3 linked regions of the Mus musculus genome follow. The protein of the gene in region 2 purifies or fractionates together with the protein of the main gene of each other region. This does not show direct contact. Links are inferred from orthologs where the notes say so. Each region holds a gene or a part of one and is shown on either strand. Other genes may lie near its edges.

What was found.
Region 1: the proteins of Mettl9 (region 2) and Slc30a5 purify together in Homo sapiens (co-immunoprecipitation; 3 studies listed by BioGRID and IntAct, with this or other methods). This does not show direct contact. The link is inferred for Mus musculus from reciprocal best matches to the Homo sapiens genes METTL9 and SLC30A5.
Region 3: the proteins of Mettl9 (region 2) and Canx purify together in Homo sapiens (co-immunoprecipitation; 3 studies listed by BioGRID and IntAct, with this or other methods). This does not show direct contact. The link is inferred for Mus musculus from reciprocal best matches to the Homo sapiens genes METTL9 and CANX.

What each region holds. Positions count from the first base shown.
Region 1 is NC_000079.6:100,827,936-100,838,612, forward strand, and holds the start of Slc30a5 (zinc transporter 5), read right to left. Parts: upstream 5,493-10,677; 5' UTR 5,243-5,492; coding exon 5,166-5,242; intron 1,088-5,165; coding exon 965-1,087; intron 1-964. UniProt on the Homo sapiens protein: Together with SLC30A6 forms a functional proton-coupled zinc ion antiporter mediating zinc entry into the lumen of organelles along the secretory pathway.
Region 2 is NC_000073.6:121,048,427-121,059,003, reverse strand, and holds part of Mettl9 (methyltransferase-like protein 9 precursor), read right to left. Parts: intron 6,918-10,577; coding exon 6,708-6,917; intron 1,790-6,707; coding exon 1,605-1,789; intron 1-1,604. UniProt on the Homo sapiens protein: Protein-histidine N-methyltransferase that specifically catalyzes 1-methylhistidine (pros-methylhistidine) methylation of target proteins.
Region 3 is NC_000077.6:50,319,820-50,330,496, forward strand, and holds the start of Canx (calnexin precursor), read right to left. Parts: upstream 5,855-10,677; 5' UTR 5,674-5,854; intron 1-5,673. UniProt on the Homo sapiens protein: Calcium-binding protein that interacts with newly synthesized monoglucosylated glycoproteins in the endoplasmic reticulum. It may act in assisting protein assembly and/or in the retention within the ER of unassembled protein subunits.

The sequences.
Region 1 (10,677 bases), on a different chromosome or scaffold from region 2:
TCTACGACTCCACAGGGAGTATATACTTTTTAAAGATTTACTTTATTTTTAGTTATGTGTATGTGTGTGTCTACATATGTGGATCCATGCCCACAGAGGCCAGAAGAATTTCAACTCTGGAGCTGGCATTATAGGCAGGTATGAACCACACAGATAGATACTGGGAACTGAGGCTGGGACCCCTGCAAGTGCAGTCAGTGCTCTTAACTGCTGAGCCATCTCTCCAGCCTGTCAAAATCACTTTTATGAAAATACAACATCTCCATTTTTTTTTTTACATCTGTCCTCAGAAGTGTGAGGGAACCCTCATCTTCTATGAAATTAAATGATACAAGACATTACAAAAGACTGATTGCTAGCACAGATAGGAACCACACAGTCTATTAAGCAAGGCATTAAAAGAGCTTTGCAAGAATCTTAGCAATACAAACTGAACTAAAAGCCTGTTTGGCAAGTCATTAGAATTCAACTAACTTCTTTTACTTTATTTTTGGGACAGAGCCTCACTGTGTAACTGGGGCTGGCCTCCAATTAATTCATGATCCTCATGACTAAAGTTCCCACGTGCTGGGATTATGGGCTACTACACTCAGCTGAAATAACTTTTTCTACAGGTCTCTATACTTCTACTCTTGTACAAGCTTCTATTTATAGAAAAAAAATTCAGTTAGCTGTCAGAAGAAATAAACTTCACAGAACATATAAGTAAGATTTCTTAAAAATAGTCAAAAGAGGATTTTCAGAGAAATAAAAAACATTAAGAGCCAGGCATGGTGGTGCACACCTTTAATCCCAGCACTTGGGAGGGAGAGGCAGGTGAATTTCTGAGTTTGAGGCCAGCCTGGTCTACAGAGTAAGTTCCAGGACAGCCAGGGCTACAAAGAGAAACCCTGTCTCGAAAAACAAAACAAAACAAACAAACAAACAAACAAACAAAAACCATTAAGGCCCTCTCCATACTCACCCAAGTTTTAATATAAAAATAAATTGAACAATGTGAACAGCTTTTAGGAGATCATATGATTCAAAAAGTCCCACAGCCTTCAAACATTTGGTTAAACACAGCAATAAAATGTATCTTGTTAATCTGAAAAATAAGAACAGGAACAATTTTTAATATAATTGAAATCACTAGGATCACTGTAATCTTATTTTCCTCTCATAATACCCATAATAAAAACTACAGAAATACACATGAACACATAGAAAACAATAAAAACCCTCTCCAAACAACCCACCATCCACATGTTAACTACTGCTAAAACTTTGGGTCCTATACTCCTGGTTTATTTTCAACGTATATTAATGTCTAAGGTAGGCCTGGTGGCATATGCCTGTAATCCCAGTTACTTGGGAAGCTGAGCAGAAAGATTTGCTTTCTTTTTGCCAGACTTCCCTTGGTCTCATGGCCCTTTGTAGCATCCAACATGCACTAAGTGAGCATGGAATATTCAACCCAGGCCTGGGTAGCTTCAGGCACAGCCTCACCTCTTTCTCCTGACAGGGAAAGGAGTGCCTTGAGCTAGTCTACCTTATCTCTGCCTTAAAGGAAAACCTTTTATTACCATCCCCCTTTTTGAGATAGGATCTTACTATGTAGTACAGACCAATCTCAAACTCATGACCATCTTATCTAACTTACCTAAAATTTACATTTTTATTTATATTTTTAGTCAAACCCCAAATACATTAAAAAGTAATTTAAAAATTTTTAGCTAAAGATGCTGTATCCATTTAATAAGTCTAACTATAAAAGTTAATATAGAATAAACAATAGCAGGGAAGAACCATAAGGAATTCATCTGTGGGGTGGGGGTGGGGCACTGTGGGCAATCCGGTTTCTTTTATGCGGGAGAATCCCTATCTATCCAAGCCTCTCCAGTTCCATGATTCTGTGTAATAACCAAGACACACGCAAGGCCCTGTCCTCAAGGAGTTCCAGGTCTTCAGGAAAGAACAGGCAAGCAGACCGGCTACGCTTCCCAAGTAAGCTGACAGACACCTCTAAAATACGAGCATTGGGCAGGAGACCTTGAAGATCCTACTGCATTTAGTTTAGTTCAATTTAGCCAATTTAGTTTAGCCTAATTTAGCAGTAGATTGCTTATGATTAAAATCAAGGAAAAGTCAAACTGCATGTAAATACTTGTTTTACAAAGAATATAGACTTCTATATAACGTATTAAAAATAAAAAAACTAGGTCTTGAATGAGAGATATGAAGCTATTCATGTAAAATGCTCATGATATATTAGTATTAATAAGCCAACTTTATTTTCATACACACATATGTGCATAGCACCCCAAAGGTCATAACGTTAATTCCTGAGTAGCTGATTATTGGAAAGGTTTTAAAAAAATCACTTCTAGCTCTCTCCTCACAGGTAAACAATTTACAAACCTTTTCCTATGTTTGTCAACAAATATTTTCTCCACATTTACAATCATGCACATAACTCAAGAGCTTTCTGCTTATAATTATCAAATTAGAAAAATTACTTCAACTTTTAAATATAGTATTCTTTGATTTAAAAAATTCCTTTATTACATATATTATTATTATTACTATTATTTGTGTGTGTGTGCATGTGTGCTCGCATAAGAGCATATGAAGTCAGAAACTCACAGAGTTGGCTCTCTCCTCCCATACAGGTCCAAGGGGTCAAATTCAGGCCATCAGTCTTGGCGGTAAAGACCTGTACCTGCTGAACTGTCTTGCTAGTTCCTGGATTTTTTTTTTTGTTGTTGTTGTTTTGTTTTTGTTTTTTAAAGACAGGGCTTCTTTTTGTAGCTCTGGCCTGGAGCTCAGAGATCGCCTGCCTCTGCCTCCCAAGTGCTGGGATTAGCTGTGTGCCACCACATCCTCAAGCGTCTGCAGTCTTTGATTGTCAAAGTTCTAGTTACTACAACTTCCTGCTGGACATCTAGACAAGACTAGTTAAGGCTAAGTAACCATACACAGAAACACCGCAGTTCATATTAAGGGGGGAAATGACTGGTAGGTGAAGACAGGGATGGGAGACTTTCTTATACAGGTTACTGAGCCTCTGGGCAGAGCTGGGGCATTCAACCCAGCTCCCCAACTCAGGAACCACTGCTTGCTATTAAGTGACCAAATAAAAATATAACTGGTCTTCTATGTGGTTGGTTAGAAATTTCTTCAGGTCTCTAAACTCGCAATTATTAAATTTTGGATATGAGTTTATAGTTCCTTCTTGAAATGTGTCCACTGCTGCCACTCACAGTCTCTAGATATCAAGAGAGGAGGAGGGCATGGGGGCAGGTACGAGGGAGAATATGCCCAAACAATGTACACACATAAGCACTTGCTGCGTGTGTGAGCGTGAGCCCCTGGCACTCACGTAAGGCCAGGGTGTCAGTCACTGCACTACAGAGGCAGAGGGAAGCCTGAGGCTGCTAGGCCGCATCCAGGCCCAGAGAGGGCCTCTGCCTCAAGGAACAGGCCATACCAGCACATAATTCACACACATATACAGCAAAGCTGCTGACCAGGTACAGCGGCCTATGTTAGCACTTGCAAAGCTAAGGAAGGAGGTGGCCAGTTGTGGACACCATGGTATAATATCTTGTCTCAAAAATAATTTTGATGTATAATAATAATAATACTAGTTCAATTCAATGAATTCAAGCATTCATAGGTGTAAACAGAAGGCATGCATAGTAAATACACAGATTCTGAAACAACTCAGACTGCCAGGTCATTCATTAGTTGTGTGACCTTAGGCAACTCAGTTTCCTGCCCTATCAAACAAGGATACTACTACTTAGCTTGTAGTGTTCTTGGAAAGACTAAAGGGATCTATACACTAAGAGTCTTTGGGGCATAGGAGGTACTCAGCAAATGCTGGCAGCCCTGACCACTGGAATTTGTGCACTCAGGCATAAAAATAACCACACTGGAAGGATCTGATCATTTCGAATGTTGCAGTTAAGATCCAGTGCTCGAGCATACAGAAAACTCTGGAAACCTGAAATCCCTTGAAATTCAGCCAGCTCTGAGTCAAAATTTGAATTCTGTAATAACCTACGATAGAAGGGCAACTCTGCCAAGCAAATAATACAGGTAAGTTGGCAAAGGATGTTTACCACGTTTAAACTATTTATACTCTCACTCTCCCCCCCCCCCCATCCTTGAACTGTTTGAGAGTAAATGAAGTATATCACATTTTACCCTTGTATTTCCTAAAAATATGGCAACTCTGCTATGAAATCTGGAGTTATCAACAGGAAATTTAACAAAGATCTGATACTTTAATCTGTCTCCATAGTCCAATTTTGTGACCTGACCTAGTCTTGTCCCTTCTATTACTTCCCTTTATTACCAAACCATAGCACTAGCCCCTTCTGCATCTAGCTGTTTTATGGTCACTGGTTGACACGTGACATGCTATAAATGAATTGCTGAAAATAGACAGAAAACCAAATGCATTCTGCAAATCCCGCAGTTGGTTTAAATTCTACTCGGCATATGGGTTCCACCCCCACCCCCCCAGACAAAAGTTAGCTGGTATCGCTGTAACCACGGTCTAAGAACCTTTTCAAAAACAATCACGAAATCTCATCGTACATACTGCTAACCAGTTTGAACGAAATTGTTGGGCTTTATTTAACACCACCTCAGAACTTAGGACAGGACCTAAGGGCACAACTGGCTAGAGGCTTTAGGAAAAGGAAAATAATTTAGGCTGGAGGAAAAGTAAAGAATTTCCACGCTACGAATCCCCGTACGGCATGAGTTTTGGGGGAGAGGGGGAACGTACATTTCGTACTATTAGAATAAGCCCCCACCTCTCCCCACAAAACCACGGCAACGAAAACTCGATGACAGGGTTGCATTTTTGCTGTGCTGTATACCCAAGTTCATCGGCTTGTACTTTGGTTTCTTCGCCTGAGACGGTGACACCTTGCGCATATCCTCTGGGCGAGCCGTGGGACAGGCTACGGAGCCCTGCGTTACTTAAGTGGCAGGGAGGGACATTCAGATCCTCTCTCTCTAGGGACTGGAACCTGGCAGGCAGTGCGTCCCGAGCCCAGACTCCCGCCCGCTCGCCGATCTCAAGCCACGGACCGCAGAGGTAGCCCGCGGGGTCCGAGCAAGGCGGGAAGCTTGTCCGCACCGCCGGCGGCCGTGGAATCCCACCTTACCGGGCGCTGGGCACGTCCACCGGCCCGAGGCCACCGCCGGGCCCGGGCCGCGCGTCCCCGCCGTACTTCTCCTCCATGCAGGCTCAGGAGCCGCTGCCCGCGCCGCGGGCTCTCCTCATGGCTCGCCGCCGCTGCGGAAGCGCGGGCGCAGGCGCGTCACTCCCCCATGTCAGCAGCGTCCTCGCAAGCTCGGCAGTCTCCGCCGCTAGCCCGGGCTCGGCAAGCAGGCACACGCACGCTGGGCGGGACTAGGCCGCGGGCTGTTCCGGCAGCGCCGTTCCCCGGAGGCCGTACGGGCAGGAACGTTACCGGGCCACGTCATCCGCCCCGGCAGCCCTCACTCCCGGGGGAGTGACCAATCCTGCGCCTGCGCGCTGGTGGACACGTGGCTTCGCTTCACTCAGGCTCCTCCCACCGCTGGGAAGGCTCCGCTCGACCCGCCCCCTCCTCGCGTCTTCAAGAGAAGCCCCTAAGAGGTCCCTGCAGCGCCACCTAAGGTCCATCTTGGCTACAGCGTGTTCTCCTCGCTCGAGGGATGGATGGATGGTCCCCTAGAAAATGCATATTTGTGTTAACAAACAGAGCTTAGCCCTTTGCTTCAGGGTTCTTCTTTCTTAAACGGCTTCACTTTGTAGCCCAGATAGACCTAGAACTCAGCATGTAGCCCAGGCTAGCCTCATAAACCTGGATGATGAATTTCAGGCGTGAGCCACATATAGGCGTTGCTAACTCAAGTGCATTAACGGTTTTTTTTTGTTTTTTTTTTTTTTTTTTTTCTAATGAGAAAGCTAAAAGTTTTTTGAAGTGCCTGTGACTCCCACAAAGAGATTATTATTTTTGGATTTCTGATGATACGATAACGCAGAGTGGGAGGCTAAAACAATGGAGAAAGGCAACTGCTTGTGGATTTAATTGTTGGGCAGGAGTACAGGCTAACCTGCTCAAGTGTGTGAGAGGGAACACAGAAGGAAGGGGCTACAGGTGTGCTATTGTAAACAATTTTATTCCCTTTCTAAAAATATTGATTTTCTTCAATCCTGTCTTTGAAATGATATTACTTAGTGTAGACATATCTATATAAAAGCTATTTTTTTACAGGTACCTGGGTCTCTATTGGTCTGAGTCTCAATAATTGTGGACATCTTGGTCAGCATGGTGGCGCATGCTTCTAATCCCAATTATAGCCAGAGGCAGTTTGAAGCCAGCCTGGTCTACATACTGAATTCTAAGCTAGCCAGGACTACAAGGTGAGATCCTGTCTCAAAAGGAACAAGAAAAGAAATAAACAATTGTAGTCACTTGACCTATCTGTTGTTTAGTTTTCCTCCCGTTCGTCGTTTGTTGTTGTTATATAGAGGCAAGGTCTTATGTAGCCTAGGCTGGCTTCCAACTTGATATATAGCTAAGGACGGACTGGAACTCTGGTCTCCCTGCTTCTGTCTTCCAAGTGCTGGCATTATAGGCACACACCCCCTTTCCGGAAAGTAGGAATAGTAATATCTATATTATAAAGCTGTTCAGAGGGAATGTGAGTGGCATTTAGTATTACTCAGTAAGTGTTAGCTATTATTACTGAGGGAGGTTTGGACTGGTGATTTGAAGGAGAAAGTGGGGTTTCCAGAAGGACAAATCATAATTAGTTGATACTATTCTACTGAATTTGAACACACACAAAGAGTCCAAGTGACATGTATGTGAGCAAGCTAGCAAAGGCTTTACCTTTAATCTGTGGTAGAGAGTAGTTAGCAAGCTGAGAGCAAGACTCAGCTGACAGTGTAACATGTTAAAGTCTGGAGGTTTTCCAAAGAGCATCTGATAAACAGGAAAGGCTGGCAAAGAGTTTGTGAGTCATTTCATATTGATAAATTAAAAGGAGAAGAAGAAGAAGAAGAAGAAGGAGAAGAAGAAGAAGAAGAAGAAGAAGTAGTAACAGAAGCAGAAGAAGAAGTAACAGAAGCAGAAGAAGAAGTAACAGAAGCAGAAGCAGAAGAAACAAGGAACAAACCTTTTAGTTAGACTGGTGGCAAGTGCCTGTGCTCTTCCCAGCACAGGGAAAGCCTCAGGGTTTAAAAGATTGCCTGGAGAGGGGGTGGGGGGGTGGGAGGGGAGGAGAAGGGAAGGGAAGAAGAAAGAGAAAACCTTAGGGGTTGACACTCTTACTTGAGACCTCAGTAAAGGTTTTTCACGCTACACGCCGAGCCGGGAGGCAGGTACAGTCTGGAGAAGCTACAGACGCACACATTCCTGTTTGAAGCAAGTAAAAGACTGACAATACAACATAGCCTCACTGCGACTGTTTTTAGTGTGTGTGTGTGTGTGTGTGTGTGTGTGTGTGTGTGTTTCATTGGGATCTTGTTGTTTTTTAAACTCATCATGTATATGGGTTTCTTTTCTGTTGTTATAAAACACCATGGCCTAGGTGCCCTCCAGAAGAAGGGGTATTCGGTTTATGCTTCCGTAGGGTCAGGAGCCTGTCATGGCAGGAACGGTGGCAGGAAATGGAGGACGAGGAACGGTGGCAGCAGGCAGAGTGGCAGGAAATGGAGGACGAGGGCTCACGTCTTCAACTACAAGCTTGAAGCACAGAGAGCAAGCCAGAAGTCGGCTTTTTAGCCTCAAACGTCTTCCCATCCCTAGCGACATACTTCTTTCAGCAAGGTCACTCCTCCTAAACCTACCCAAGCATCACCACGAGCTGGGGACCAAGAGCTCCAGTGTATGAGCCTGTGGGGAACATTTTTAAAAATTGATTTTATGTAGAGGAGTGTCTCGCTTACGAGTGTGCATACCATGTGCATGCCTGGTGCCTAAAGAGGTCAGACGAGAAGGCCAGTTCCCCAGGATCTGAAGGTGTAGATTGCTGTGGGCCTCCATGTGGCTGTTGAGTTGTAGATTGCTGTGAACCCCTGTCTGTGTACTCCACGGGAGCAGTAAACCTTCTTACCTACGGAACCATCTCTCCAACCCTGGGGGCATCAACCGCAGGAGACTTCATAGTATTATGTTTATTTATTGTTATCTTCACATCTGGGAGCAACTGTTGGCGTAGAGTGATTGGGTCAGGTGAGGAGGCCCAACAAAATCGAAGGTTTTTGAAGAGGTATTTTAAATTTTTATTTTTGAAAATTTGCCTGTGTCTATGAGCTGGTTGGTTTTTGTTTTTGATTTTGATCATATTGACATGAACTAGGGTCACCTGGGCGGGGGGGCGAGATAATCTCAGTGGAAGAATTGCTTTTATTAGACTGGCCAGTAGGCAAGTCTGTGGGCTATTTTCTAAGTGATCGCTGTAGGAGAATCGTACCCATCAGTCGTGGGTGGCATTAGAAGGCCAGCTAAGCAAGCCCTGGGGAACAAGTTAGTAAGCAGTGCTCCTTTTCCTTCGTGCCTCTGCTTCCGGTCCTACCTGTGCTCCACTCAACGATGGACTGTATGCACACTGTAAGCTAAACCCTTCAAGTTGCTTTGGGTCTGAGTGCTTCATCACAGCAGAAGGGAAGCAAAGGGTACAGCGCCTGAAGTTTGTATGTGCAGCACATGCGTGTGTGCCCTCGAGGGGGCTAGAGGAGGGCACCAGACTCCCTGGAACTGGAGTCATAGGTAGTTGTGAGCCATCCGGCGAGAGACCAAATCCATGCCCTCTGCAAGACCAGCAAAGGGAGCCAAGGCTCCAACTCGTTGTTTTGGGTTTTAGACAGGGTCTTGCCATGCATCCCTGGTGAGTCTTGCGTTTACTTTGGAGGTCTGATTGGCCAGGAGTTCATGGCAAGCCTCTTGCCTCCGCCTCCCCAACATGGCGAGTGTGAGTGCTCATACCACACCAACTCACCAAATATTTCTACACCTCCCTTTTGGCAGCAACTTCTTCATGGAATGCCAAACGGTGGCAAGGGTAGCAGAGCCGGCTCTGTTCCTGTGGAGCGTAGAGAACAAGGAAAAATGGCATGTGTGAACAGACTCACTCGCACCTGCGGCAGAGCTCGGATTGAAGTCAGCCGATGCTTCTGATTTGGTTAGAGTCGTAACATTTCCCTTTAGTATTACTACATTTTCGGTGATTGCATGTACTCTTTGCTTCTCAACCTGTTTCTGTCAGGTTTCCAGTCCTCTGAAGCCACTCTTCCTTGGATACATTAGCCTCCTATCCTCTCTCTCTCTCTCTCCCCTAAACTATCCACACCCCACTCCTCTCCAATGTGTGCACACACTAGTGCTAGGCAGCCAGTCGATTCCTGGGCTGTATTTCCAGTCCTATTTCCCTTTCTTTTGAGGAAGTCACAGGGTCTTACTATGTTGCCCAGGCTGGCCAGAATTCCATATCCTTCTGCCTCGGTCAGCTCCCCTCATGTTTTTTTTCCTATCCATGAGTTTGTGGGTGCACACATGGATGTGAATATTCTCATGCAAGGTGCACATGCATGCACAGTTGTGTATGTGGGGGTCAGAGGCCAACTTCAGGTGTGGGTCCTCAGGAGCTTTCCAGGGAGATGGCATGTGTAAACCTGCTTTGTCTTCAGTTGGTCCCTGTTTCTGGGTGCCTCTGATGCCGACATAACTGTAATTCCAAGACGAGATGCCATGTAGATTTTTCTTAGGTTGTCCATGTGCTTCTCCATTGCCCCATCTGAGTTCAGTGGGGGAACCAGCAGCCATTTCTGGGGTTGAGGGGAAATGGCTGCATTGTAGACTTAGCCTGAGTAGTTCTGAAGTAGTTTCCAGTGGGCTTTTTGAGAGGTAGAGCAAATTAAGGGACATCCAGAGCAATAGCGCACACATGGCTTTTGTTTCACGTGTTAGCTTTGTTCTACGTCTTCATGGAGAATGAAGGTATACTTTTATAAAATAATTGAAAATGTAGGAATGTGAAAGGAAGTGTACACTTAAAGCTATCAGCTGTCCATAAAAACATTGTATGTTTTTCTTTAAGGCCCCCTCCCCCCCCCAGTGCCAACTCCTGTTCTTTCTTTCATACTTTGGATTTCTGAAATGCGATCTTGCTTAGCAAGGCCCTGAACTTGTCATCTTTGTACTTTAACCCTGAGTGCTGAGATTACAAGCTTTTAGTTTCTATTTTTCTCTTCCCTTCCCTTCCCTTCCCTTCCCTCCCCTTCCCTTCCCTTCCCTTCCCTTCCCTTCCCTTCCCTTCCCTTCCCTTCCCTTCCCTTCCCTTCCCTTCCCTCCCCTCCCCTCCCCTCCCCTCCCCTCCCCTCCCCTCCCCTCCCCTCCCCTTCCCCCTTCCCCTTCCCCTTCCTTCCCCCCTTCCTTTTCCCCTCCCCTCCCTTCCCCTCCCCTCTCCTCCCCTCCCCTTTCCTTTCCTTTTCTTTCCCTTCTTTTTCTTCCTTCTTTCTCTCTCTCTCTCTCTTTCTTTCTTTCTTTCTTTCTTTCTTTCTTTCTTTCTTTCTTTCTTTCTTCTTTCTTTCTGAGACCCTATTACTGTGTAGCCCTGGATGGCCTGTAACTTAATAGTCTCAGCATTACAAAAAGGAACAAAGAGAAAGTGGTTCATCAAGGT
Region 2 (10,577 bases):
CTCACTCATACAGGGGGAGGGGCAAGACAGAGAATATTTCCTATTTTCCATACTAACAACAAAAACTCTTCGATTTGGCAAATGTACAGGCAAGCATTAAGTACAGAGGGAGGCATGGTGACCTAACCACTGTAAATCTCAGCATATGGGAAGCTGAAACAGGAGGGTCATGAGTTTCAAACCAGCTAAAGCTGCAGGAACCTGTCTCCAAAATGAGCAAGCAAGCAAACAAACAAGAAATAATGAGAAAATAAAAGAAAGGAAAGAAGGAAGGAAGGACTATGACCATGGGTGAACAGCAAGGTCAAGAACAGAATTCAGAAGCATATGTGCACACAGCAACATAAATCCACAATGTTCCACAATCACAAAAAAAAGGAATGTTATTCCTTAAAATATGGGTTTCCATGGTATTTAGTGGCTCTAACACTTGCAAAATAGTAAGGAATTCCTTTAAAATGTTTGCAAGTACTTGAGAGCTGAGCAAATGTCCAATCTGGGCATTAAAACTAGAAAACTAGGAGCTGCAGATACAACTTGATTGGTAGACTATTTTATTTGCCAAACATCAGGAAGCTGTGGGCTCGATCTCTACCACCACATAAATCCTAGCACAGGGGAGGTGGAGGCAGGAGGATAAAAAATTCAAGGTCATCTTTGGCTACACAGTAAGTTTGAGGCTAGCCTGGGCTACATGAGGACTGTCTCGAAAGTAAAAAGACAAAAGACTTTAAAAATATTAGCATGCGTAACAAGTTTTATATAAATGTACATTAATTTATTAAAATACAGAAGAGCATTAGCGCCATCATCTTCAAGATAACCTAAAGTGCAAACCCCTGAGCTTAAACTATGGATTACTGTGGTATTAAGTTCACAGTGAGTATCAGAAGCTAATTGTCAGGAAAGAACCTGTCTCTTCCAGTGCACTCCTCAATCAATACTGTTGAAGAGCAGCACCATTAATTTACAAAACCGTATTCCAACGGTTGGAGAGATAAAGGGCTTCAAGGTTAAGAGTATGCACTGGTCCTTCAAAGGACCCCAAGTTCCATTCCCAGCACCCACGTAGGGCTATCTTCCAGCCTCTGCAGATGCTCTACTCACACACAGACACAAAAACAATTCTAAAAATGATAATAAATGTTTTAAAAAGCCTGTTATTCAAGAAATGCTACTTACTAGAACATGAATGTCTTCAAAACAGAACATTCATCATTTTTAGAGTCTGAGACAAGAGTTACAAAATGTAAAACAAAGCAGCCATGACATTCAGCAGATATCTACTAGCAGACTAAGAGGGAATGTGCTGCTTGACTTGGCTTATACATAAGTGTTCAAGCTGCCTTGAAAGGCAGAGAGCACAGATACAGAGGCACTGATGCAGCCGAGGCTGAGTTATCACAGTGCCAGGGGCGTACAGAATGCTGTAAAATCTGTATTACAATAAGCATTAACCACGGTGATACTACACATGGCTAGCTGTATTATCTTTAATTCCAGGTAACTAAGCAACACTAGACCATGTGTAGGTGTTCATGAGATAAAAATCGCAAATACCAATAGACTGTCATTCTGAGAAGAGCTGGCCTGCCCACACTTACCGTTTTCTACATAGGGATGAAAGGGCAAAACCAATGCCAGGATGACCCTGCCTTGGGTGGGCTCCAAGACACTTCTGATATCTTTTAACAATGTCAGGGGCTGATCACAGCGATCCAGCAAATTTAAGCAGCTGATGACATCATACTGGAACCCTGTATTCTGCCATTCATTTATACCAAGCACTCTGGAAAAATCAAAAAGAACTTGGTTACTATTTCTCCCACTTAGAGACAACTCCCCCTACCCCATCCCCCTCACCCCTTTCCATTTTCCCTCTTGCTCTTGCCCATAGGTTTTTTAATTTGTTTCTCATTATGGATGGTTGTGAGCCACCATGTGGTTGCTGGGATTTGAACTCATGACCTCTAGAAGAGTAGCCAGTGTTCTTAATCAGCCCTAGCGACAACATTTAAAATAACTAAGATGAGCAGGGAGTAGGGTACATGCCTTATTCCCAGCACTTGGAAGGCAGTCGGGTGGGTCTCTGTAAATTCAAGGCCAGCCTGGTCTACAGAGTGAGTTCCAGGACAGCCAGGGCTACAGAGTGAGACTCTTGTCTTGAAAAAAGAAAAACAAAAACTAAGGTGCCAATAAAGGCCAATAACTTTGTCTTCTAAATCAATGTGTACTCAAAATATGCACCTATAATTTACATTTACAATTATACAAAGGACAGGTAAGGAAAAAATGGCAACTATAGAGGCCAGGAGTCAATGTTGGGTGTTATTCTTCAGATGCCACCTTTTTTTTTTTTTCTTTCTTTTTTTGAAACAGGGGCTTTCATTGGCCTGGAACTCAATAATTACATTGTGCAGGCCAGTGGGCCCCAGGGAGTCTCCTGACTGTCTCCATAGTGCCAGGATTACAAGTTCTTGCCACTGTACTTACCTTTTCACACGTGTACTGGGCACTGCATTTAAGTGTTCATGCTTGCTTTCCAAATAAGCATGACTGTACTGACTAAGCCAGATCCCCAGGCCATGGTATTTTGCCTTATAGCCAGCCAGCCAGCAGCCTGCCTGCCTGCCTGCCTTCCTTTTCTTTCCTTCCTTCTTCCTCTTCTTCCTTCTCTTCCTTCTCTTCCTCCTCTTCCTCGTCCCTCCCTCTCTCCCTGTCTCTCTAACTTGTGTTTTGAAGTTGCTGTGTAACCGTGGCTGGCCTCACACTAGCTCCTGCTTCCGTCTCCCAGCACTAAGACTGCTTATAACAACCCAAGAAAGCAGGCAGCTCCTTTGCTGTACAGGTGTGTGTCTGCACTAGTGTCTCCTGAACACATCTCACTGTGGAGTTTCAGAAGCACTTTATCCCGTGAGACTGCTGCATAACGACTTCAGAAGCTGCGCTCAGCTCATTAAAGACACACAGAACAGTCTCTGCTTTCACAGGAAAATGTCATCAGTTATACTCTTAAACAATGAAATAAACGATGAAAGAAATACTTGTATAATGCTTTAGCCAAACAATTTAAAAGCACAGGTTATGCATTTGATTAAACAAAACAATAACCTTAGGTCTGCAATGGAAGAGAAGCTAGACGTGAAGCAGCAGCAGATGTCACTGAGATAACCTCTCAACTTAATCCACCTCAACTCTCAGCTGCAGGGAAGTGGCTTCTGCGTTAGTTTTAAAAACTAGAAAGACGCTCTCTGAACCAACACTTAGGGGTCTGATGTTGTAACAGTTCAACTTTCCTGAAAGCAGATCAAGCTCACCCTTAATTTTTAAAGCTGTGTTTGTAAACTCAGTTCCATTCTTTAAGATATATTAGTAGTTGTACTCAGGAATCCTAGTGAGTTGCTGGAATATTTCCTTTTATGACAAAATGAAAGGAGTGGCTTGTCCAAGTTCACAATGTAGCACAGAAACTACAACTTGGAAGCCTCTCCTAGCATGTTCCTCAGGTAAGGCTGCTGGCCCTCTCCATGTAAGGTGAGGGAAAGCCTGACCGTGACTCCTTAAAGAAGCCCTGTGGCCTACCCAGCTAAGCATGAATGGCCATCTGTACACTCCATTCTCTAGTATATTCTCATTAGGCAAAGTAAATGAAGAGGCCAGTACCCTCCTTCCCTCCCAGACCACTGTAAGCATTGTTTTTAGTTTTTATTACACTTGTGTATATGTCTGTACCACTGCACACACGTGGGGCTCAGAAGACAACCTGCGAAGTGAGTCCTCTCCTCCCACCATATGGTAACCGGCATCAAATTCGGGCAGCAGACTTTGTGGCAAGCAGCCTTCTTACTGAGCCAACTCACTGGCCCTGGTTTTGTTTTAATTCAGTAGGAAGATATGGGGACAGGTTAGAAACCTATAAGTTGTCATTATAACAAAGGACAAAAACTAACTTCTTTTTGGAGGGGTAATGTATTCTAATTATTACCATGTAGGTTTACCAAGATAGAAACTGAGGATGAAACCAAGGTAGACTATGCGGTCATTCAAACTTACTTCTACATAAGGTCCTTCAAATATAACATCCCAAACACTTATTTAACACTGAGGTGAGAAAGGTTGATGTTTCTATCCACAACTCAACTTCTAGAATCAGCTGTGCCTGATAGAGCAGAGTCTACGTTTACCTCTTCCTTCCATTTAAAGTCTCATTAAGTATTCACAGCAATCCGTCCTTCTACCACCAGCCTTGGTCTGTCCTTTCTCTAGACTAAAACTCTCCGTGTTTTCCAAATGTTCAATCTGCTCCTGCCCCACCAGAGCTGCACAGATGCTTGACTAAGGTTAGTCTAAGTGAGAGACACTCACAGAAGTCAGTGGGGAGATAAATCTCTGTCCAAGGCTTTCCAAATACCACAGGGGCAGGTCCCACCTCCACATGTGTAACCAGTCTGTAGAAAGAATTCTGGAATTTTGGTTTCTTTTAAAAACACAGAAATCTTATAAGAATATGTTTTCCTTTTAAGCCCAGGTGTGAGGATATGGGGCTCCTTCACAGCAACTGACTACCATTTGCCTTGTGCTCTAGCAGGGACATAGTTTTGCCAGCTGCAGATAGTTTGTACAATTGTGTGATGTTTGGCATTCTGGAAACTTCTCAGAGGGTATATAAATGCTAATACCTCAATAGGTGGGTATGGGTGGTGGTTGTTTGTGGTTTGTTAGTAGCTGTGCTCAATGAAGAAGCAAAGTAAAAAGCAAGAAATTAAATATTAAAGAGATATCTATCTCTCCCCCTCTATCCTTCTTCCTCTCCTACCTAGTGATAGAGGTAAAGAGGATGGGGGGTGGGGTGAGAACGCACAAAGTAGCAAAGACCAGCTACAAAGAAACAAGAAAAGAATTATTCAAGGACCCTCCCCCCATCCTTCTTTCTCTCCTACCTAGCTATAAGGGGTGAAACTGGGGGATGGAGGGAGATAAAGGGTAGGAAAAAGAAGAACCCAGAGTAGAAAAATTGGCTATAGAAGCCAATATACAAAGAGAGGTCTCTCACATTTTCTTAAGAAGTCTCGGAACACAGACTTCATACCTAATAAATACTCTTCATAAGTCTTTCAAGCACCAAGTGGTCTGTAACCTGAACTTGACCCTTTACATCCATCATTACTGACATCTGAGTGTGTGTGGGGCATGAAATCCAACTACTGTCAAGGGTGTAAAGAAATTGGTCAGTGGGGACATAAATAAAGTGGAGAAGATACAGTAAATTCTCAAAAAAAAAAAAAACCCCACACAGACTTAAGGGGCTGGAGAGACAGCTCAGCAGTTTGGAGCACTTAGCACTTTTACAGAGGACCTTGGTTTAACTCCAAGTACCCTCATGGTGGTCACAATCATCTGTAACTCCAGGGGATTCCCAACACCCTCTTCCAGTCTCTGTGGATGTCAGACACATACATGGTACACAGACATACATGCTGGCAAAACATTATACATATAAAATATATCTAAAAACAAAACAAACAAAAACCCTAGACTTAACATGTGATCTAGCTATTCCACTTTTAGGCATATACCCAAGAGAACATATTACTCATTTGGCATGGCTGTAGTGGTCTGAATGAGAATGGTCCCCAGCTGGTAAGACTATTCAGGAAGGACTCGGAGGTCTTGTTTAAGGAGGTTTCACTGGAGATAGGATTTGAGGCTTCTCTCTCTCCTTCATGGCTGTTGTCGCAATGTGTGTCTGAGCTACTGTGACAGTGTCATGCCTGCCGGTTGCCAAGTTCCTGTCAATTGGTCACAGGCTCACCCTATGAAACTGGGAACCAAATAAACTCTTTCTTGTATAAGTCATCTTGGTAGCACAGCAATGAAAAGTAACTAAGACAAATTGGTGGTGGTGCACGCCTTTAATCCCAGCACTCAGGAGACAGAGGTAGGCAGATCTCTGAGTTTGAGGCCAGCCTGGTCTACAGAACGAGTTCCAGTACAGCCAAGACTACCCCTTGGTATGTCTTGGCCCTCTTAGGAAGAAAAAGAAAACAAAAAGAAAAGGACCTAAGACAAATGTCAGAAGCAACCCCCAAACATCCCTAACACAGACTGTGTGGGGTGTGCAGTAAGCCATGAGTCCTCCTAAGACTCCTCCAAGACACAGTACACAGAGTAGTCAGATTCATGCCAATACAACAGTGATTACAGGCTAGAGGAAGGAAGAGTGCAGGATGATATTTCAGACTGTTCTTAGGGAAGATGGATAACACGAACGTGCCATGACTGCTGACCTAATTACAGACTTAAAAATGACTAAAGGGATATATTTTACATCACATATATGTTACCAAAATTTTTTAAAGCATATAAAACATCTGGACATGTCACTGATGAGGTCATGTCCTCACATCTGCCTACCTCAAGCTGTCTCTTACTTATGCTATCTTCTCTGTGATGCCAAGTCCTCTGCTTCAGAAAAATGCTGCCATGGAAAATTCCCTTTTTCCGGTTTCCCACTGATTTGTGTTTAATTCTTAACCATGGAAAACTGCTCCTGATTCTTATCACTAGGATACATGCAGAGGTAGAGTCCCTGGCCTTGCATTCAATTCCCAGTGCTACAAACAAACTAGACCAAAACCCAACACACATATACATCAAAACCCAAGAAATGCCCAACAGGCACGCCTGGCACCCTCTAGAACTGGTACCTGTATTTCTTCTTCTGGAGCTGCCAGATCATTGTTTCAGAAAGCTCAGTGGCGTAAATTTCTTCAAAATGAGGGCTCATGATTTTCGTGACTTCTCCATCTCCAGCACCTAAATCAAGAAGTCTATGGGTTTTCCAGTCCGGATTAATTCTAAGCAGTCTCTGAAACTGATCTGGTGAGAACACAAACATGGAGCCTCTTCCTAGCAACCTGGGGAAAGATGGACAGGAGGTGAGATCCACGACTCTAAAGAACGCCCGTGTACACAGAGAAAACAGCACCAAAGCTTTCTGACATTATGAAATTAGTATACAATTCAAAAATAGTTTATCTTTCATGGCCAAAAACAAATTCACAAAGAAAAGGTGGAGGGAATGGCAGAGACTCAAGGCTAACCATAGCGTGGGCAGAGGAACCAAACACACCTTTTAGGAAGATGGATTCAACAATGGTGATAGGAAAAAAATAATTTCGTATAAAAGAGTCTTAAGATGCAGAAAAATTGGATTTAAAAATGCTTTAAAAGAGGAAAAGAGCAATCGTTGTGAGATTAGCCACACTCAGGTTGGTTTATAGTTAGCTGAGACCTGTATTTTATTAAAGGTCCTAAAACATTTCAAGCTGATAATATTGACTGAAAAAAATAAAAATAATAAGCGGCCGGCAGAGGTTATGTGGGGCCTAAAGGAGCCCTCCCTTAGAAAAGCAGGTACAGCCCAAGCAAGCCATAAAGAAGTACACTCCCTACTCCCTTCCTGCTCCCAAATCCTGGTTGTTCTCAAATGAAGTAAAACTCAAACAGCACAAGTCCGAGGAGCTATTACACTGCAGTGAGGCTGAGTGCCTACAGCTGCCAGCAGCCCGCTTTTAAGATTTTCTCTGCAATCTGAAGCAGCTTCTGAAGCAATTCCTCCGCAGATCCTGGAAAAGAGACTGTACCATTCTATCACTTCCGGGAAATAATCAGAATGTAAAATAGGTTTACCATTCAATGACTTCCAAGATGCTTGCAGCACAACCAGCTTCAAGAACACTAATAAAAGGTATGGAGATGGTGTAATAAATTCTTTCTCTTGCCATTAAGGCCACAGAGAGTTTAACAAAATCTAATGATATATTTACAGTAAGTTTTCTGCCTCACACAAATGTTGAGACTGGGAACTGAGAAGAGCCCAGAGACAGCTAAGCATGTTCTAAAAACCACAACTTCTTACCAAAGAAAGCAGTATCTCATAGACACATACCCCATGCCCACTGTTTGTGTTGCCAGCAGAAAAACAAGCACATGGACGAAAAGGGACTGTGGCTGATGGAATGGACGGATAAAATCCACACAGGATCCAGTCAAGCAGAAGGGCTCCAAACAGCCTGATGCTGAGTTCATGCCATAAATCCAAAATAAGTCACAAAATATTTTGCCGAAAACTTTCCTAACTATATAAAACATGTTTCCCAAGCCATCTCTTTGGGATGTGAAGAACTTGACATGATACTATAAAATTATAGAGCTGGGGGGGGTCACCTGAGGTCAGAGCCCACAAAGTTAACTCACCAAAGTCTACATTTAAAGGCACATAAAAGAAATGAGAAAATACTATCCTATCTGCAAAGAACATGGGCAAATGGGGGCTCCATAAAAAGACAGTGTCAAAGAGTCAAAATCTACAAGTCCAGTAAAAGTCAACCAAATGAACTCTGCCTTTCCAGTTCAGCAAGACCTGAAAAGCTAAGCTTCCTACAATGGTTAGCACACACAGCCCGAGTACATATGGAGACAGTTCCCAGTCTCAACGTCAAGGCCTTGGGAAGCACACTATATACACAGAATGGCCTCCACTGCCTCTAGTCCCTCACAATCATCCTAGGTTCTCTAGTCAAGTCTCTCTAGCCCTAACTCTACAGAGAAAGTGTGTCTCTTCCTTATACAAGAAGGTGAACATAGCTATCAAGTCTCTCCAGGAATATAACTTAGTGGTAGATGAGAGTCCTTGCCTCAATTGTAGCAGGCAGTAGAATTCCCAGTACCATCAATTTTTTAAAAGAGAAAGGAAATATTTTTAAACCAGGGGTAGTGGTACATGTTATCCCAGCAATCAGGAGGTAGAGGCAGGAGGCTTGCCACGAATTCAAGACCAGCCAAAGACACATAGCAAGATCCTATACAAAAGCAAAATCAAAGAATAAAAAAACTCACGTTATTTAGCCTTCTTTCTTCCAGGAAGAAACTTGTTAAGTAGCTCAAGAAGGTTTCATCGTAGCTATGTAGTTATTTTTATTGAAGTGAAAAGCACTACATAGTAGAAAATATCTTTGGGTTCAAAATTGAGTTCTGGGTTGAGAACAGAGCAAGGAAGGCAGAAGAAGCACTGAGTTTAACAGGGAGGAGAGGCAGTGAGATGGCTCAGTGGACAGAGGTGCCAAACCTGACTCCCTAATTTAATCCCGACCCACATGGTAGGGGAAAATCAATCCCACAATTGTCCACTGCCTTCAACTGGTATGCCCTGGCATATGCACAGACATATGCACCCACACACACACATATATACATGTGCACACACACACACACACACACACACACACACACACACACACACTGACTCACTACAATAAAAAGCAGAATGAGCAAGGCAGACAGTATGCAAGAGGTATACATCACTGAGTTCAGGAGAACAAGAGTTTGAGGCCAATCTGGGCAACATATCAAGGCTCCATCAAAACAAAAGGGTAGAGGCAGAGGGTTATAAAGGAAGCCAACAGTACTTACTAATTATATAGCCTCTCTGATCAAACTACTCAATTCTAGAGCAAGGAGTCTGAAGTGGGTTTCCTCCAACAGGTAGAAGAAAAGGGAACTAATTTGTTTTGAAACTGACAATCATATAAAGTACTGAATGTAAGCACTTCCTAAAGGAAAGATTCTCACACCTCTATTACTCAGAAAGAATTTCTGCAAGGGTGACTCACATGATTTCTGAAGAAAGAATTAATGGCACAGAACAGAAATTCAATACATCCAATTTTAGGAACAAACATCAACCTAAATTGTATAAACTCAACTCCCAATACAAAATAACAAATGTTTGCTGAAGCAAATATAAGCCAAGCTCATTCAAACAAGAATGAAAATTAAGTAAGAAATCCTGAGGGATGACTTATAGTGCCTGAAAACATGTTTAAGGAACAGATGATAGACTGGGGATCCAGACATTTAGCAAAAACTTGGTTCAAACCTCAAGGGGAAAGAAAACAAAAGCAGAGCACAGGAGGCCTGTTAAACATCATGACTGGTTGCCAAAACTTGGCCTTACATATGTTTAAAAATTCAACTAAGAAGTGATAAATAATATTTATAGGTTAATATGTATAAAGTATTTTCTGTAGGTATTTGAAGGAACCACTCTCAGGGCAGAGAATTCTACACTAAAGTTAAAAACTTCCTAGTGAACCTAAATATGATGTTAAAAACAAATGCTGGACCTTCAAAACAAGTCGTTGCCTATTGTTGGGCTAAATAATCAGATCCCTGCCAGTGGGGTGCGCACCTAAGGCACAGGCCTCCCCTTCAGCAGAAGAACCCCACTAGAAGGACGGCTCTCAAGTTCCACACTTCACAGCCTGCTGCCAGGAGTTTGTTTGCCTGCTGCACTGGTGGCTGTGGTGGCTGAGGTGGGTGCACATCTTTACTCTCAGTGCTCTGGAGGTGGATCTCTGTGAGTCTGAGCCAGCTACACAGAGGAGCCCTATCTTGAAAAAAAACAAAAACAAAACAAAACCCCAAAACAAACAAAGAAACCCCTCAGCTCAGCTGGGTGGAGTGGCATACTCCTTCAGTCTAGCACTTGAGTAACAGAGGCAGGTGGATCTCTT
Region 3 (10,677 bases), on a different chromosome or scaffold from region 2:
TCATCCGCCTGCAATCAAACATAAAGCATAGACAAATACAAAGCCAACAAAATACATTCTTTGCATGAAGACTTTGGCATGCTTCCCAACTTACCAAAGACAATGAGGCCTACTTTTCAGGCCCAAAGGTATCTTCATGACCACCTACCTAATGCACTCATACTTCAGTGCAATCCACCCAGCTTTTAGAAGGGCGAATTATCTTAAATCCTGGAAGTGGAAAGTTGAGATTTTATTATTTCACAGTGCTGTGATCAAAACCAGAGCCTCCTGAAGGTGAACAGAGCCCTGCCTCTGAGTTGCATCCTCAGTGTTCAGCTGCAGGTTTTCTATTTGGAAACCTCAATTCCTTATTATCAAGACAGCTCAGTGGTGAACAGTAACCTGCCCTGTCAGGGAGAACTGTTGTAGTTTCTCCAGCTTCTGGGGGACCCCGGCCAGATCATCTACATCCAGTTCTCCCTCCTCCAGTCTACAGACCTGTATAATACAACTACTGCCCAATGCTTGTACTTTTTTAAAAAATAAATTATTTTTTAAATTTCTTATGCATGAGTGTTCATTTGCCTGCATGTGGGCCTACCTACCATGTATGTGCATAGTGCCACAAGACTAGAAGAGGGGATCAAATTCTCTGGCTCTAGAGTTACAGATGGTTTTGAGTCACCATGTTGGTGCTAGGAACTAGACAGGTCCTCTTGAAGACCACCTAGTACTGTTAACCACTTAGTCATGCCTCCCCCCACCCCGCCATCGAAGACTTTACTTCTTAGAATTTAAAAAACAAATTCAAGCAGAATTTGGTTTTGCAGACATGTAACCCAATACTAATAGAGGCAGAAGCAGAATTATCACAAGTTTGAGGCCAGTTCTACACTATGAATTCCAGATCAGCCAAGGCTACGTAGTATAATCCTGTTTCAAAACTCAAACAAGGGGGAGGGGAAAAAAAAAACTCAAACAAAAAGAAACCTCAACTCTAATTTCTTTCATTTATGAAAATCACAGGGATAGTAAGATGATCTAATATTCTTAGTTATTCTAATATAAATACTAAGTAATTTTTGAAATAGCATGGAAACTTTAAAATGTGATTTCTATGTAAGCTATACATTCCTTCCATTCATTTCAGCATACTATTGGTGTGAGTCTATGTGAAGGCTTGTGTGTACAAAGGACAGACCTGATGTCTTCCTCCATCTCCCTTCACCTTATTCTTTGACACAGGGTCTGAGAGAACCTAAAGCCTATGAGCTTTAGCATCCCATTGTCTCCAGTCCCCAGCGCTGAATGCTGACAATATAAACTCAGGTCTTAATGCTTGCACAAGAGGGTAGGCACATCACCATCTAAGCCATCTCCTCTGCCCTCATTTGACATAGTCTATTAAAAATTTTTGGTCTTAAAAAAAAATTAGGTCTTGGCAGGTAATACTTTAGGTGGCCTAAAAGACCCCATATAAACTCTAAGAGTTTCTATCACTATTTATATATTCTGCCCAAGAGCATAGACAGAAATATGTTTATAAACACATATTCAAATCACGATTTCTGGTCAGCTACTTAATAATGTGGGTCAATTGCTAATCTCTGGGCCTGAGTTTTCTTCTCTAAACCAACACTAACTTCTGCTCTAGAACTGCTGACTAGGTTAAACATACATGAACTGCGTATGAGACCTGTTTTACAGCATGCGCTCAATGTGACTGTCTACAGTTACTAGATATCGATACTATTTCTACTTGTTGATTTTTTTTTTTTTCGGTTTTTCGAGACAGGGTTTCTCTGTGTAGCCCTGGCTGTCCTGGAGCTCACTTTGTAGACCAGGCTGGCATTGAACTCAGAAATCCACCTGCCTCTGCCTCCCAAGTGCTGGGATCAAAGGTGTGTACCACCACTACCTGGCTACTTGTTGATTTTTAATGAATTTTAAGGTAAATACTCTAAACTTTATTTTGGGAGAAATATAAGCACTTAGTTGTATTTATTATTTTGTGGATGTACACATGTGGAAGTCAGAGGGTGACGTCCAGGAGTCAGTGCTTTCCTTCCAACAAGTGACACCCAGCAATAGAACTCTAGCTTGGCAGCAAGTGCCCTGACTCTCTTATCATCTTTCCACTATTTTTGTGTGTATGTGCGCGCGCCTTCAGATTTTACTACTACCTTGTCAAACATTTAAAACATGGGCTAGAGAGATGGCTCAGAAATTAAAAGTGCTTACTGTTCTTGCAGAGGACCTGATACCCACATTAAGTGGCTTACAATCCTTTACCAGTGCCTTTAACTCTAGCTCTGGGGGATTCTGTACTCATGTGTACATACACATAGAAATGCATGATTAGAGGCCAGAGAGAAGGCATAGAGGGTAAAGGCACTTGTCAAGAAGCCTAACAGGTTGAGTCCAATCCCTAATACCCATACTGAAAAAAAAAATTCCAGAAATATCACACCAACTTCCATACAAGTTCAAATGCCATGGCACATGCATGCACAAACAAAAGATAAAGTATCTTCTGAGAATTACATTTAATGGGGAAAAATACAACTTTATATGCTCATCTATTAAAAAATAATTTTTAAAAAGTATGCATGATTACATACCCCTGCAGTCCCAGTTACTTGGGAGGCTGAATTTGGATGACTAAGTGAACTCAGAAATTCAAGATCACCTTACAGTGAGGAGATAGTTAAGTAGTGGTGTTTTCCTAATTGCTAAGTTCAAGGCTCTAGAGTCCATCCTCAGTATTTGGGGGATGAGGTAGGATAACAAAGACAGAACAACATCCTGAGAAACAGTGTGACCTGCTCTATAAATGAGACCTATACCTTACTCACATGTCATATTTGGGGGTTTCTGCTTCATGTGTTGGGAATGGAACCCTGGGCCTAGGCCAAGAATTATATACCACCTTCTTGGATTTGTTTTCATTAACAGAAACATAGGAGTAATTTGGTGGTGGTGGGTTTTTTGTTTTTGTTTCGTTTTGTTTTGTTTGATACAGGGTTTCTCTGTTGTAGCCCTGGCTGTCCTGGAACTCACTCTGTAGACCAGGGTGGTCTTGAAGTCAGGGATAAATCTGCCTCTGCTTCCCTCATGCTGGGATCAAAGGTGAGCCACCACCACACCACCCAGCTAATAAGTGATTTTTTTTAAAAGAAACTTTTTCCTATTAATTCACTTTAAGATGTGAATACGCAGGATGGAGAGATGGCTCAGTGATTAAGAGTTGAATTCCCAGTTGGGCAGCTTACAACTGTTTGTAATTCCAACTCTAGAGAATATAATGCCCTTTACTGGCCCCCATGAATAATATATTGCATATATATTCACACCAACATACACATATTTTTAAATATATATATATATGTACATAGTACACACACACATATTAAAGATTTATTTCATGTATATGAGTACACTGTCCTCAGACACACCGGAAGAGGGCATCGGCTCTCATTAGAGATGACTGTGAGCCACCATGTGGTTCCTGGGAATTGAACTCAGGACCTCTGGAAGAACAGCCAGTGCCCCCAACCGATGAGATATCTCTCCAGCCCTAAATAAATCTTAAAATGATTTTTTTTAAAGACAAGAATACAATATAAAAATTGTCTAGATTCCTTAAAAAAAAAAAAAAAGAAAAAAGAAAAATTTCAGGGCTGAAGACATAGTTGCTGCTCTTCCAGAGGACCCAGGTTTGATTCCCAGCACCAATATGATGGGTCTCACACACATGGTACACAGACATACATGCAGGCAAAACACACATACACAGAAAATTAAATAAGCCTAAAAATTCTTTCCTAGCATTTGTAGCAATAACAAAGCATTTAACAAGCATTTTCCTAATGAGTTTTACAGTAAGCTATACAGACTACAACTATCTTTGGCACTTTAATTACTTCTTAGGACTTTTTATGAGCTGCCAATACTATTTGTCCATTTCCTTACACTTTCCCAAACAGTTTCTTAGTATCTGCCCTCTCAAAGGCAAAGCAAGTAGCACACTCATCCCCATTTCTTTCTTTCTTTCTTTCTTTCATTCCCATTTTTAAAGGATAGGAATTAAAGTTATCATGCTGGACAGTCTTCTGCAGTTATTCTTAGCAACTGCCACTCTACTCCCTCAAAGTTCTCTTACTGGGCAAGTGACCTCTGCAGGACAAGGATGCAAGGTGTGTTGTCAAGATGCACATGCCTTGTGGCTCTTGAAAGATTAAGGAGTTAATTGCACTGTTGAGTTAAGATAGCAAGGAGGTGACACCCATTCACAGACAGTTCGGTAAACTCCTATTGTGAATGGCTCACTACTATATACAGTTCTTCAGGGCCTGGCTCACCTGTAGTGTACCCCTGCCTGGCCTGTAAGCTTAATTACAGTATAAGTACAACATGAGAATTGATTCTGTTCATGCCCTTTCAAAGGTTACTGGAAAATATACAAAGATTTTTAAGGTAACCCAACTTGTCCCCCTTTAAAGGGGTGGGAGGGCAAATTATTTTTAAAAAACAGGCAGATTCTTCCATTTCTGAAGGGTAAAGAGACTGTAGCTCAACTTTGCCAAGCTTTTAGTATTCAGTTTGGTTTAACTTCACACAACTAGCAATGCAATCACTAGTGTCATGACCAGCAGTTAATACACAAAGTGTCATCAATGTGTCCTCAGGTCTTGGCACACAGGCCTTCAATATAAACATTAGTGTATCAGTGTAATGACCAAGGCATTCGGATTTCAAGAAGCCAGTTCGATTCCTACCCACTGAACCTTTACTACACATCCAATTTCTCATTCCCATTCCCTCGGAATTCAATACAAGGCCCATCAGTCATTCTGTCTACTCCTGGGGACTGAGCCCTAAAGTAGAAAAAAAAAATCTCCCAAATTCCCACTCCCCCGATTAATTGCAGTTAGGTGCTTGAACCAGGACTTTTAACCCAAACGGTCTAGTGCTCAGTTACAATCCCAACTGGATGACTAGAACTACCTGTATGACCTTGGGCCAGTCATTTCAAACTTCTAGGCCTCAGTTTCCTCCCCTCACTAACTGAACTTTCGCTTGTATCTCCTGCTCTTAAGGTCCTGTGAACACCCACACTGGATTACTATCTATCCACCACCGAATAGGCAGGTGCTTTAATAGTTAAGCCTTAAGTTTCTCAAGCGGTACACGTTCTAGTACATTCTACTCCCTCATCAGGATGCTATGGTCCAGTCTTCCCTTTGGGCAAGTTATTTTCTAATCTGTAACGCTTATCTCTGGATTTACTTCACCTTTCCCTGCTATTTGGGCTACCTACTAGGCCGAATTCTAATACCACACCTGTACCGGATTACTCAGCCCACCTCTGGGTGGGCCTGGCCAGGGCCTAAGAAAGCTCTAGAAGCAAAGCCGTAGGAAGTTGTTAGCTTTCTCAGAGGTCAAGGGAAACCCCAGGACACCTGCCACGCCTCCCGACCCCGGCGGCGCTGCCCAGGCTAGCCTCTCTAACCCGGCCGCTCTCCTCACTGCCCTGCGCGTCCGCCCAGGCCTGCGCCATTCGAAAGCCCGCCCGACCCCTCAGTCGTCGAGCCTACAGCCACGCCCGACCCCCTCCGCCACGGCGCCGCTCGCCCAGTCCCCCAAGGCTCGTCCCGGGCCTGAGATCCCCGCACACGCTTCCCGTCTCACCTCGAGCCTCCCGGGGACCACTGGCGGCTCCCTCACCTTCTCCCACCCGCACACCCGGCCCCGTGCTGCAGTGGAGACAGCGGCAGAGGCGGCCCGACCGTCACGTGCCGCAGAACTAAGAGGCCTCGGCTACGGCCGCCGCGCGAGCGAGCCCCACCGCACGAAGCCCAACCCCGCGTCCGCCCCTCGTTCCTGAGTGGCTAAAACGAACGTCAGATCCCGCCCCTTTGCGCAAGATCTAAGAATTTATTGGTAGATACAGCCATCGCTCGAAGCGCCTTCCCATACGCCCCCTAGGGCTATTCTTCGTGGAGCGTGGTGATTGGTCAATAGCGAGGCAGGAAGTGGTTGCTGATTGGGTATGAAGGAGGAAGGCGGGCCGTCACCAAACGGGCGGGCGCGCGCCGCGGAGGGCGGACGGATCTGGCACGCGTTCTCGCGTGGGTCGCCCTAGTCCCTCAGGGCGGGTGTGTTGGACATCCAGAAGACGGCTTTCCGACCCATTGAGTTAGGAACTCTGTCCCAACCCCGCCTGGGACCTATGGCCTTCATCACAAATGGTGAGAGGTCGGGCGGTGTGCTTGCGCAGTGAGTGAAATCCCTCTGGGTAGCAGACACCGCCTTTCCTGCGGAGTCATCGCCCTGAGCTCAGGAGCCTGAGACCTCTTTACCTAACAAAACACTACCTAGATTCACAATCAAGCCACATGGAGTCACTTTCCCATGTGCCCGTGCTGTTTCCTGATTTTAGTCGTTAAAATCAGACATACCTAAGCGACAGAGTTGAGGAAAAGGGTGATGCCATGTGCAGATTTAAAATAGCCTTTTCATAACCCACTCGTTTTTCAATATGCTGATAACGCTGTAAGATTGAAGTGGCTAAGGATTTGGCTAGATCCTTGAGAATCCTGATCGCCTCGGGTTGTATTTGGTGACCCAAAGCTTTGAATAATGTGGAAAGAAACAGCAGGTTTTTCTACATGTGAAACGAGCTTTGTTCCTGCCACCCCAAGAGAAAGGCAGTAAGGATTTGATGTTTGGGTCAATTTAGTAACCGCCAATTCTCTCTCCCTAATTTTAAAGAAGAGAAATTGCTTTCCTTATTTGCCTTATAAAGAGCATGTTCAAAATGAAAATTTGAAGCCAGCTTGGCACAGGCAGTACACATAATTTAAAAAAAAATTCTAAATTTACTTAGGTTGAGTTCTGGCTTGTGTTACCCAAGATGGCCTTGAATTTAAGAAAGCCAAAAAATCGACTTCTGCAGAGAGGTGTTAAAATATGTCAGTACTGAAGGAGTAGAGGAGTTGAGGCAGAACTTTTCTGTCTAAACTGACAAAGACTTGAACTGGACCTCATAGATATGCAAATTTTCTGTAGGTGGAGTTGGAAGGAAGTTCTTGAGATGAGAAAATTGTACAGAAGAGCAAAAAAGTGACTCTCAGGTATTTGGGGGATCCATATACTAAAAATGTTTTGGGAGCAATGGAGATGGCTCAGCAGGTAAGGACACTTGCCACCAAACCTGATGGCCTGAATTTAATTCCCAGAACTCAACGTGGTGAAAGAAGAGATTGAATTGTACTCTGACCTCTATACAAATTCACATACATACATTAATAAATGTGAAATTTTAATAAAAATGAGGACATGATGGCTCTAAACTATACTGTCCACAAAGAGACTGGGAACGTCAGTCTTCTGGTCTGTTCATGGTGTGTCATTATAGAATATTACAAGTTTCTTTTATGTTTCAGTTTATCCAAACAGCTAAACCTTAACAAAGTTAGCAAATACAAAGAGACTAGGCATATACCTTCAAGTCAGTTAGTGTTAACCTGAGTAGACCTTCAGGAATTGATGAGCCTTATTTATCAGAGATAGCTTATTCATCCAACACAAGTTATTACTTATCTAAAATTTTCTAGAAGCTTGGTGTTGAACAGTCAGCAAAAATATAAGTGGTTAGACATCAGTCTCTAAGTCTTAATTCTTTCTCAATGTCTTCATCCCCAATCTCTCTTACTTGATTTGATCCTACTTGAAGCAACAGTACTCATGTTTCCACCCAGTTTTTTTTTTCTCACTGGCTACATTACTATTGATCATTTCTTTGTACACACTAATCAGGCCCTGTCAAATTAATTGGTAGAAAATACAACTTATTTTATCACAGATTCATTAAACATTTTGCACTGATCATGTAGATTCCTTTTAATTGTCTGTTCATGGAGCTTGTCCAATTTTTCTATTCTAGGCTTTTCTTACTGGCTTGTAAGAAATCTACAGCCTAATGGTCTTGAGAGTGAGTTAGTTTCGATGGTTTGTAAGAAATCTTCACTCGCTGAGATGCTTCTTAAACTATTACTGAGAACCCACCCATCTCCAGCTTCATTATACCTTTTAAATTAGGAGCTATTTCTTTTGTCTTTTTGTTTTTTAAAGATATATTTTATTCCAGCACTTGGGAGGCAGAGGCAGGTGGATTTCTGAGTTCAAGGCCAGCCTGGTCTACAAAGTGAGCTCCAGGACAGCCAGGGCTACACAGAGAAACCCTGTCTCGAAAAACAAAAAAACAAAACAAAACAACATATTTATTTATATGTAAGTACACTGTAGCTGTCTTCAGACACCAGAAGAGGGAATCAGGTCACATTACAGATGGTTGTGAGCCACCATGTGGTTGCTGGGATTTGAACTCGGGACCTCCAGAAGAGCAGTCAGTGCTCTTAACCACTGAACCATCTCTCCAGCCCCTCTTTTCTCTTAATTGCACTTGTTCCTTCTTTTCTCATTATAATTTGTGTGGGTTTGAGGGCTCCATGAGTGTGCTGTACTTGCATATGTCTGTGTATATGGAAGCAAGATTAGTAGGTCCTTATCACTCTCCACCTGAATCCATTGAGGCACTGTAGACAGGATCTCTTCCTTGTACCTGGAACTAGGCCGGCAGCCAGCATGCCCCATTGCACTTCCTGTCTCTGCCTGCAACGGCACTGGGGTCACAGGCATGTGCACCATGCCCTTGTTTTGTTAGAAATTTTTCTTTTACTTATCCTTCAATAATTTCATACATGTCTATTTGTCTGTCTATCTGTCTTCTTTTTTACTTTTTGAAACAGGGTTTCTCTGTATAGCTCTAATTGTCCTGGAACTCGCTCTGTAGACCAGGCAGGCCTCCAACTCAGAGATCTGCCTGTCTCTGCCACCCAAGTGCTGGAACTAAAGTTGTGAACCGCCACCACCCTATTCTTTCTTTTTTTTTAACCAAATAATGTTCTTGGGACTGGAGAAATAGCTCAGTGGGTAAGAGCACTGGCTGTTTTGTTGTTGTTGTTTGTTTTTCTTTCTTTCTTTTAAAAGGAATCCTGCTTCAATCCCCAACACTCATATGGCAGCTCACAACTGTTTGTAACTATAGTACCAGGGGATCTGACACCCAATTCCGACCTTCGTGAGCACCAGGCACACACATGGTACACAAACATATGTGCAGACAAAATAACCATACACACAAAATAAAAATAAAATTTAGAATAATTCTTTAAAACTATTCATGTGTATATACACATGTCATGAATGTATGAGAAGAAGACAACTCCCAAGAGTCAAGTCTCTCTTTGCACCCGTGTTTCCTAAGGATTAGACTGAGGTTGTCCTCACGCCTAGTGGCCCTTTTAGTTGGGTTACTATTGCTGTGATAAAACACCATGACTGACTTGGGGAGGAAAGGGTTTATTTTTCCATATCACTGTTCAACTCAAGGGAAGTCAGGACAGGAACTTAAGGCAGGAGCTGATGCAGAGGTCATGGAGGGGTGCTGCTTACTAGCTTGTCCCCATGCTTGCTCAACCTGGTTTCTTATAGAACCCAGGACCACCAGCCCAAGAATGGCTTCATCTATAATGGGCTGGGACGTCACCCATTAATCATTAAGAGAGTCCTGAAGTAGTAGAGTCCTCAACCTTCCTAATGCCACAACCCCTTAATACAGTTACTTATGTTGTGGTGATCTCCAACCATAAAATTATTTTCTTTGCTAATTCATAACTGCAATTTTGCTACAGTTATAAACTGTAAATATCTGCCCTTTCCAATGGTCTTAGATAAGGTTTTTCAACTCCCAAAGGGGTAGCAGCCTACAGTTTGAAAACTGCAGTCTTGCCTGGAGCCTGATCTTATGGAGGCATTTTCTTAATTGAGGGTCCCTCCTCTCAAATTTCTTTAGCTTGTATTAAGTTGACATGAAACTAGTCAGCACAGTGGCAAATACCTTTACCTGCTGAGGCATCTAAATTGGCTCTCTTGTTTTTATTTCTTGATAGAGCTCACTATAAAGGTCAAGCTGGCCTTGAATTTGAAATCTTCCTGCCTCAGCCTCCTTAGGACACACACACACACACACACACACACACACACACACACGTATAGCTATGTCAAAGACACATGAAGAAGAAAAGAAATACCAACTCACCTTATGCCATTCCAACCTGGAACTTGCAATGGAAGCTGTCCTTCCCCTTGGAGCCACCTGACTTATGCGTGCTCTTCCTTCCCTCACTAAACACTTCTGCTTCCAGTTGTTTGTTGAAGAAGGATCTTCCAGGCCTAGTCGGCCATCACTGGAAAGAGAGGCCCATTGGACTTGCAAACTTTATATGCCCCAGTACAGGGGAATGCCAGGGCCAAAAAGTGGGGGGGAGGGGTGGGTAGGGGAGTGGGAGGGAGGGTATGGGGGACTTTTGGGATATCATTGGAAATGTAAATGAGGAAAATACCTAATAAAAATATTAAAAAAAGAAGAAGAAGAAGAAGGATCTTCCAGTAGAGGGCTGGCTAATCTGAAACAGGATGTGCAGATGTGACTGGCCTTGAACTTGCCTCCTAATTCTGGGATTACAGAACTGATCTTGAACACAGTTGCTCCTACAGCCCCTTCCTCTCCTTCCCCTACATCCACACCCACACTTGTGCCTACTAAATAAGCAATCTGCCACTTGGCTA